2 linked regions of the Neurospora crassa OR74A genome follow. The protein of the gene in region 2 purifies or fractionates together with the protein of the main gene of each other region. This does not show direct contact. Links are inferred from orthologs where the notes say so. Each region holds a gene or a part of one and is shown on either strand. Other genes may lie near its edges.

Evidence for each region.
Region 1: the proteins of NCU05261 (region 2) and NCU06086 purify together in Saccharomyces cerevisiae (affinity purification with mass spectrometry; 4 studies listed by BioGRID, with this or other methods). This does not show direct contact. The link is inferred for Neurospora crassa OR74A from reciprocal best matches to the Saccharomyces cerevisiae genes PIM1 and MAM33.

What each region holds. Positions count from the first base shown.
Region 1 is NC_026507.1:1,859,720-1,862,896, reverse strand, and holds NCU06086 (regulatory protein suaprga1), read right to left. Parts: upstream 1,807-3,177; 5' UTR 1,604-1,806; coding exon 1,254-1,603; intron 1,194-1,253; coding exon 719-1,193; 3' UTR 501-718; downstream 1-500. Other genes in the region: NCU17215 (hypothetical protein), read right to left, coding at 2,425-3,051. UniProt on the Saccharomyces cerevisiae protein: Not known. Binds to the sorting sequence of cytochrome b2.
Region 2 is NC_026504.1:5,554,279-5,558,450, reverse strand, and holds the start of NCU05261 (ATP-dependent protease La), read right to left. Parts: upstream 2,801-4,172; 5' UTR 2,285-2,800; coding exon 1-2,284. Other genes in the region: NCU05262 (hypothetical protein), read left to right, coding at 3,401-3,973; NCU16891 (hypothetical protein), read right to left, coding at 4,024-4,172. UniProt on the Saccharomyces cerevisiae protein: ATP-dependent serine protease that mediates the selective degradation of misfolded, unassembled or oxidatively damaged polypeptides as well as certain short-lived regulatory proteins in the mitochondrial matrix.

The DNA of each region.
Region 1 (3,177 bases), on a different chromosome or scaffold from region 2:
GGTGCTATTTAGAGGCGTTTGTAAAGGTTAGGTATTGAGTAGCGGGTTCTGACTGCGTGTCTGCAGTTTGATGGTGTTCTGAGGCAAGATGTTCACCACAATGCGAATATTGAGTTGCAGTGACTGCGTGAATTAAGGACAAAATGTACGAATGAAATGAATGTAACCGGAATCCTCGGAAACGAACGCAAAAATTGATTAGAAAGATGTCATATCACAAGCACATTCTGACAAAGTATAATGTTTCTGCAACGGAAAAAAGGTAAGACGGAGAAAGGAGATGGACAAAGTTGAAGTTCGATTCAGCTGGGCTAAAAGATCAGTGACCCCAGTTCAACCAATGGCATGACCGCTGGCTTCCAAGGCGAGCAAGGGTAGCATGGCATAGAACGAGAATGGGCAAGATTTGCCATACCACCTCATGACTTGGACCCTTTGCGGTCATATCTCTGGTGCTGTATCAACTTAAAAACTGTCTTGTCCACTTGGACGTTGGTCCTATTACAGCATCTTCATCCTTACACAACCCGTTCCCATCGGCTTCTGTTGCATTATACAAATTTTGGTATGGAGTCGTGATATCAAACGTGGGATATAATTACAGGTACATGTCATACATCAGCTGCGGAATCAAAAAGCCGTCCCGCAGCCTCGAATCCTCTCGCCTTTTCCTTGTTGGATTTTCCATTCCTCGTGACAGTATCTCATCTCTCCCCATTTATTGGGCATCGACGAAGCCCTTGAGGTTGTTGAGCCACCTGAGGTACTCCTTCTGCTCCTTCATGTCAAGGTAGTCGGGAACGAAGAGGGCAAGGGCCTGGTTGATGCCACGGTCCTCGAGGTAGCGCTCCATGAGGACCTGGAGATCCTCGTCGAGGGTACCGAAGGGAGGGCCAGGGTAGACAGCCTGGGCAGCGTGCTGGGTCTCGGCGCTCTCACCGTGAGCGAGCTTGGCGTCGTGGTAGTAGAACATGTTGTCGACAACAATGGAGCCGTCCTGGGCAACGGCGTCGATGTTGAGGGCACCCTTGCTGGGCTTCTCAATGACGATGTTGAGACGGACGGGAGCGCCGCCGTCCTCACCCATGTCCTCCTCGTTCTGGGCACCCTCCTCGTCACCGAGAGCCGTGTCCTCGTCGAACATGCCAGGCTCGTAGTTCTGGAGGTCGGCGATGGAAAAGGAGATGGTGATCCTGGCGTACCTTGGTCAGCGCATGGTTCTTGATCGAAGTCATGTTGGGGGTTCAACTTACTGCTCGTTGCCAAAGGTGCGCTTCAGGACAACGTCCTCCTTGCCGGGGGTATCGACAAGCTCAAAGGGGCCGTTCTCAAGGAAATCCTTGACGGTGGCGGGAACGGGCTCGTTGGAGGCAATGTCCTGCTCATAGCCAATCTCGGTGGAGAGCTTCTCGGAGAGCTCAGAGTCGATCTCGGTGGCGGCAGCGCGGAAGACGGTGGTCGAGAAAGCCTTCTGGGGGAGCTGGGTCCTGAGAACGTTGCTGGTAGCGCGGACGGTGGCGCGGCCGAGGGTGATGGGAGAAGCAGAGACGGCACGGAGAGCACGGGGCGCAGTGGTGCGCGCGACAGCACGAAGAGACATCATCTTGACGGATTTGGTGGGGGGTAGTTTGTTGACTGTAGATTGGAAATTCGGGTCCGATCGTGTTGTTGCGCGTTGGGACAGAGGAGTGTTGTCGAGGACGGAAGCTGGGGTAAGTGAGTGGACGAAGACTGGAGCGAGACGAAAAGATGGGTAACGTGAGTGATGGAGAAATTCGATGACAATCCACGATGGATGGTTTTGATCATTGGATCCGCTCGCTGAAAGCTCCACGAACCTGTGCCGAGAGCAGCTGAGTGGTCCCGTCTCCAGAAATCTTCAAAAGCTCTGCAGTAGCTAGCGCAAAAAAATGCCGAGCACAGACCATCCAATGAGGCCCCGGCTGCGGGGACAAGAGGCAAGAACCCCATCGATAAAGCGTAGCGCCAGCCGATAAGCTCCCACCTAGCGGAAGTTCCCCCACAATGACGCTTTGGACCCACTAAAATTTTGTCAGTCTTCAGTTGAGGTTCAGGTGCGCGTAACAACGGGCGGCCTACCTCCAGCTCCATCTTCGACTACTCACATCGCGCCCAGAGGATAATTGTTCATCAATAGCTTATTTTAGTCGACTATATACGGAACTGATGGTCTGCTTTTACGATTTGTTTCCTCAACGCCATACCACTTAACACCTTTATAAGTTCTAGCTATTCTACCAACAAGTAAAGGGTCCAGCATTCTTCTGTTCCAGGGTCCAGATCGGCTCGACTGGATCCACACTTAACAAACATGGCTGCCAGGAACCGAGTGCCTTGGATGCCTCGGATCGATACGACAAATGACATGACCAATGCCAGCAATACCCACGCGAACAATCTGATCTATATGAACCGCCCATCATATCTCCCCAAGTCTGCCCTCATCTTCCCCATCCTCCTCAACCTCCTTTCGAGATCCTGTTGTTGTCCCTGTTGCTGTTGCTCTGATACCGGTAATGCTGCCGGTCCAGGCACGTACTCCCTCCCTTGTCCTTGCAACATCATCAATGTCGTCGTCGTCGTCGTCGTCTGTCCTGATACCGAGATCCGTCTCTGCTGCTGCCCCCTGTCATAAACACCACCACTGCCACCACCCCCTCCAACTCCATGGTGATAGTTGTTATTGTTGTTGTATCCATACATGGAGTTCACACCTTGCGCTCCAATGGGTACACTAACACTAACACTGCTCCCCCTCCTCCTTGGTCCTCCGCCTGTGCTGCCACTCGAGGTGCTACTCCCACTGCCACTACTGCTTCGAGACCGGGATGCCGGGAGGGTTGCTTCGTCCTGGCATTGCCAGCACTTGTACCCCGTCTGATCTCGTTGGCCGGAAACCCCGGATAGGCAGGAGCCAAAGATGCCGCTGCCGCTGTTCCTGGCTACGGAACAGAGTTGTTCTGAAATGAGGACTGTGTCCTCGCTGCTGCACCGGCGGCACACGCGGATGTGGGTCTTGTAGGTGCACATTTGCTTCGTCTCTGGTCTTGGGTGCCGTAGTGTGTGCCCGGTCAAGTCAACCAAGATGATGATGGTCGAGAAGATGTGTGAGATTGCGAATGCTAATCAACGGTGAGATGGATGATGGGAGATAGG
Region 2 (4,172 bases):
GTTGCACGTCAACGCCCTTGAGACCAGCCATCTCCTGGGCCTGAGGAGCAAGGTACTTTTCGGCAATGGCCATCTTCTCATCTGCGACGTATCCGGAAAGTCGGATGACCTCCATACGGTCGAGAAGGGGCCGTGGGATGGTGTCAGTCAGGTTAGCAGTGCAGACGAAAAGCACCTTGGACAGATCTACAGGGACATCTAGATAGTGGTCCAGGAAAGAGCCGTTTTGCTCGGGGTCCAAGAGCTCGAGAAGTGCAGACGAGGGATCTCCCTGGTAGCCGCGGCCAATCTTGTCGATTTCGTCAATCAAGATCAAGGGGTTCTCGGTCTTGCACTTCTTGAGGGCCTGGATGACACGGCCGGGAAGGGCACCCACGTATGTCCGGCGGTGACCCTTGATTTCGGCAACGTCGGTAAGACCTCCCACACTGAAGCGGTAGTATTGGCGACCAAGTGCGCGAGCAATGGACTTGCCAATCGAAGTCTTGCCGACACCCGGAGGACCGACGAAGCAGAGAATCTTACCCTCGACGGTGCCGCGTAGCTTTCCAACGGCAATGAACTCCAAAATACGATCCTTGACGTCCTTGAGACCATAGTGATCCTCATCCAGAACCTTGACAGCATTCAGAATGTCAAAGTTCTCGGCACTGCTCTGGCCCCAAGGAATGTTGGTGAGCCAGTCCAAGTAGTTGCGCGTGACATTGAACTCGGAAGCGGCAGGCTCCAGGTGGGCGAGCTTGTTCAGCTCGTCATCAAACACCTTGCGCACGGCCTCAGGCATGGCCAGCTTGTCGGCGAGCTCTTTGAACTTTTCGACGAGCTTGTCCTTGCCGTCAGACTCGATACCAAGCTCGCGCCTGATACCCTTCATCTGCTCCATGAGCCAGTATTCACGCTGGCGTTTGGTGATCTTCTGCTCTACGTCCTTGGTAATCTTGGACTGAAGCTGGGCGTTGACGTGCTCCTTCTTGAGGACAAGAAGAGCCTTGTGCATTCTTTCTTCCACGTTCAGGCTAGAAAGAACCTCCTGAAGCTCAGCAGGCTCACCGGCGCTGACAGCAGCGGCAAAATCCGCAAGCTTGGCTGGCTCAGCCATGACATTACCGGTCGATTGGCTCATGCTAAAGGTGGAAATCTGATCCCGGAAGAGACTGTTCATGCTAGCGACCTCCTTGAAGACGTTTACGATCTCGTTCGTAACGGCGCGTATAACCTGGCTCTTGGGGTCGTAGGGTTCTTCCGTCAAGTTCTCTACATTAACAAGACTGACCGGATACTTTTTAAGGAACGATGTCGGCTCGTAGGGCTTCTGGCTTGGTTCGGGCCTAGGTGTCACGGCGCTTTCCTCAAAGCTCGCCACCACGTCACCCTTTTGCTCAGACTCGTCGGTCACCTTGGGGATCGGCTCAGGTACCGGCTCAGGGGCAGCACCCTCCTTCGCACCATCGATCGAGGCAGCCTCAGGCGAGCCGGGAGGAATGAGCTCCGACAGCTTGATTCTCCGGTGGGGGTAAAGAATCGCGGTGAGACTAGCACCCTCGCCGTTCTGGTTGTTCATGGGGAAAGCGCTGGTGATCTGCGCAAAAACACCGACGTCATAGACATCGTCGCGGTTCCGAATCACATCGTCGTCGGCGTTCTCGTCCTTGAACAAGAACGCTCCCACATATGGCTGTCCGCGCTTGATCATTTCTGTAATAGCCGCAGCGACATTGGGGTCCTTGATGGTAATGGCCTTGTAGAAACCGGGGAAGAGCGGTCGCTTCGCTATAGGAATCGCCATGACCTGGGGGTAGATTTCCGGTACGACGGGCTTCGCCAATGCCTTATCACCAGGCTTGCGGCCTCGCTTGCCACCATCTCCGGAGCCACCGTCTGCGCCTGAGCCCGAGCCGGCAGATGAACCGCCAGCAGCGCCAGCCTTTCCATCTTCTGGCGCCGGCGGCGGGGCATCCGAGGTTGAAGACTTGGACTTGGCCTGTTTCGACTCAGCCTCCTTTGCTTCGGCCTCGGCGTGCTCAACGTTTGCCTTGCGCTCCTCCTCTGATAGTGGCTCGATCGAGTTGTCGAAAAAGCCCTTGTCGTTCTTCTTCCCCAGAGCAGTGTACGTTGAGAAACTCGAGAGGTTCGTCGGTCTTTCGTGTCGGGGCCGGGTCACGGCATGTTGGCCAGCCGCGGCAACCGGGCGTATCGAAGAAGTGGTTGAGGTGAAAGACCTAATCGAATGCGCAAGCGATGTCCTCGACGCGAGGATGCGCGGGATGCGCTGTCGGGACAGCATCGTGGATACAGGCAGTGACGAGCGGGCCTGGGCAAGAGGATATCGTAGAGGTCGAGATTCGTGAGGAGGATTGTCGTCTTTTCTTAGAAGAGAGCGGACCCGAAATCGGACCAAAGGCGACAGTGGACGGGAGCTGCGGTCGTAGGGGAGGGGAGGGGAGGGGAGGGGAGAATGGATGTGGTCGGGTGTGTGTGTTGAGAGTGGGACGGCGGGAGAGGTCGCGGCGGGGGAGACGGAGATGCGGCGAAGCGGCGGGAAAAAAAAAAGTTTACAGTTTGTTAAAATAGTAGTATACAGGCAAAGATAAGAAGATGGGTTCTATTCAGGGTGTGTGACGACGACGACGACGACGACGACTCCAAGGAACCCAAGGCCCATGACTCTCGCGCTCTCTACAGTACGTGACAAATGAGGTGTATGAATAATCAACTCGACGGGGCGGAAGGCGAACAGCGACCGACTCGAGCTCCCTCGGTCTTCGGCCGGCGGTAGAAGATGGAGGAATTACTGTCTTTTACTACTTACCAAGTCTAGGTACCGTCCCGGTTGCGTCACGGTACAAAAGGTACGTACCTCCAGCCCACTACATATGGTAACAGCTCATCCGCCGCTCTCCAGCTCTCAGACGGCGGGACAGGACTGCCCTGGAGCTGAGGTCAAGTGGAATTCCATCATCGCCGTTGTGAAGTTTAGCGCCTAGACTAGTCGCCAAGGCGCTTGACCAATTGCAGTATAGTGTAGATCGTTACCTCCAAGTCTCCAACTCATAGCACCACTCCGCCGCCTGGAACTGCTGCCGGACGGGAGAGCTTACGGCGAGCAGAGCATCCATTAGCAGCACCGATCCGGAGCGGGGCATCGGCAGGCACTGTTCGCTAGTACATAGTATCAGACAGGGCAGCTCTCCGCAGGGGCAGCAACCCGCATATCAAAACGCCCAAGTGGAAGTCCAAGGTCATGACTGCGGGCTCTTTCAACTTACATTAACGACACTTTACTTGTACCACACACAGTCTTCGTCCATCAGCCATACAAGTATAACATCAACCCATCAGACAACATCCTTTCACACACATCTTGACACCACTTCGGTACGCTAGTCATATATCACCCAACATGGCACCACCTTCATCAGACGACATCACCTCGGGAGTCTCCAAAATGTCACCCAAGAACGCCAAGGCTAAGAAGCCAGAGCCTGTTGCCGACAGTTGGGAAGACGAAGATGTCAGTTCCGAGTCCGAGCCCGAGGCCAAGACCGAGCCCAAGTCTGAGCGTGAGCGTAGCTTTGGTGCGCAGCCGGAATCATGGGAGGACGACAACAACAGTGATGATGAGCAGGGAGCGCCCTCTCCCCCGCCTTCACGCAACAACCAAAAAAAGCCGGAGCCATCTATTACTACCTCTACTTCCATTCCACCATTTCTCGACTACACTGGGCCAGGCGGCAGCGCCAGCAACACTTCCTCTTCCTCAGAGTACAAGAGACCCGAGAAGACGGACGCCGTAGCCCGCCGGATGATTGCCGGTGCTCTGGGGCTGAAGGCACCCAAGCTGACCGAGGAGCAAAAGGCTTACGACCGGGCCTTGCGCGAGAAGGAGCGCAAGAGGAAGGAGGAGGAGAGAGAGCGGAAGAAGAAGGCAGAGGAGGAGGCCTTGAGAGCCAAGCAGGCGATTTGGGAAGACTAGGAGCTTTCCAGCGTATCATCTCTCACAGTCTCAATGTGTGTCATCAACCATCAAGCGGAATCATCTTTATTATCTATACTTTGCGAGGCTTCATCTTGCTCAACATCGCTCGACGCCGGCGGCGGCAACCCTTCCCTCCTGATCAACGGGAGGTGTTTCCCCTTGTGCATCAACACCAACTGCTCCCCACCCTCGGGAG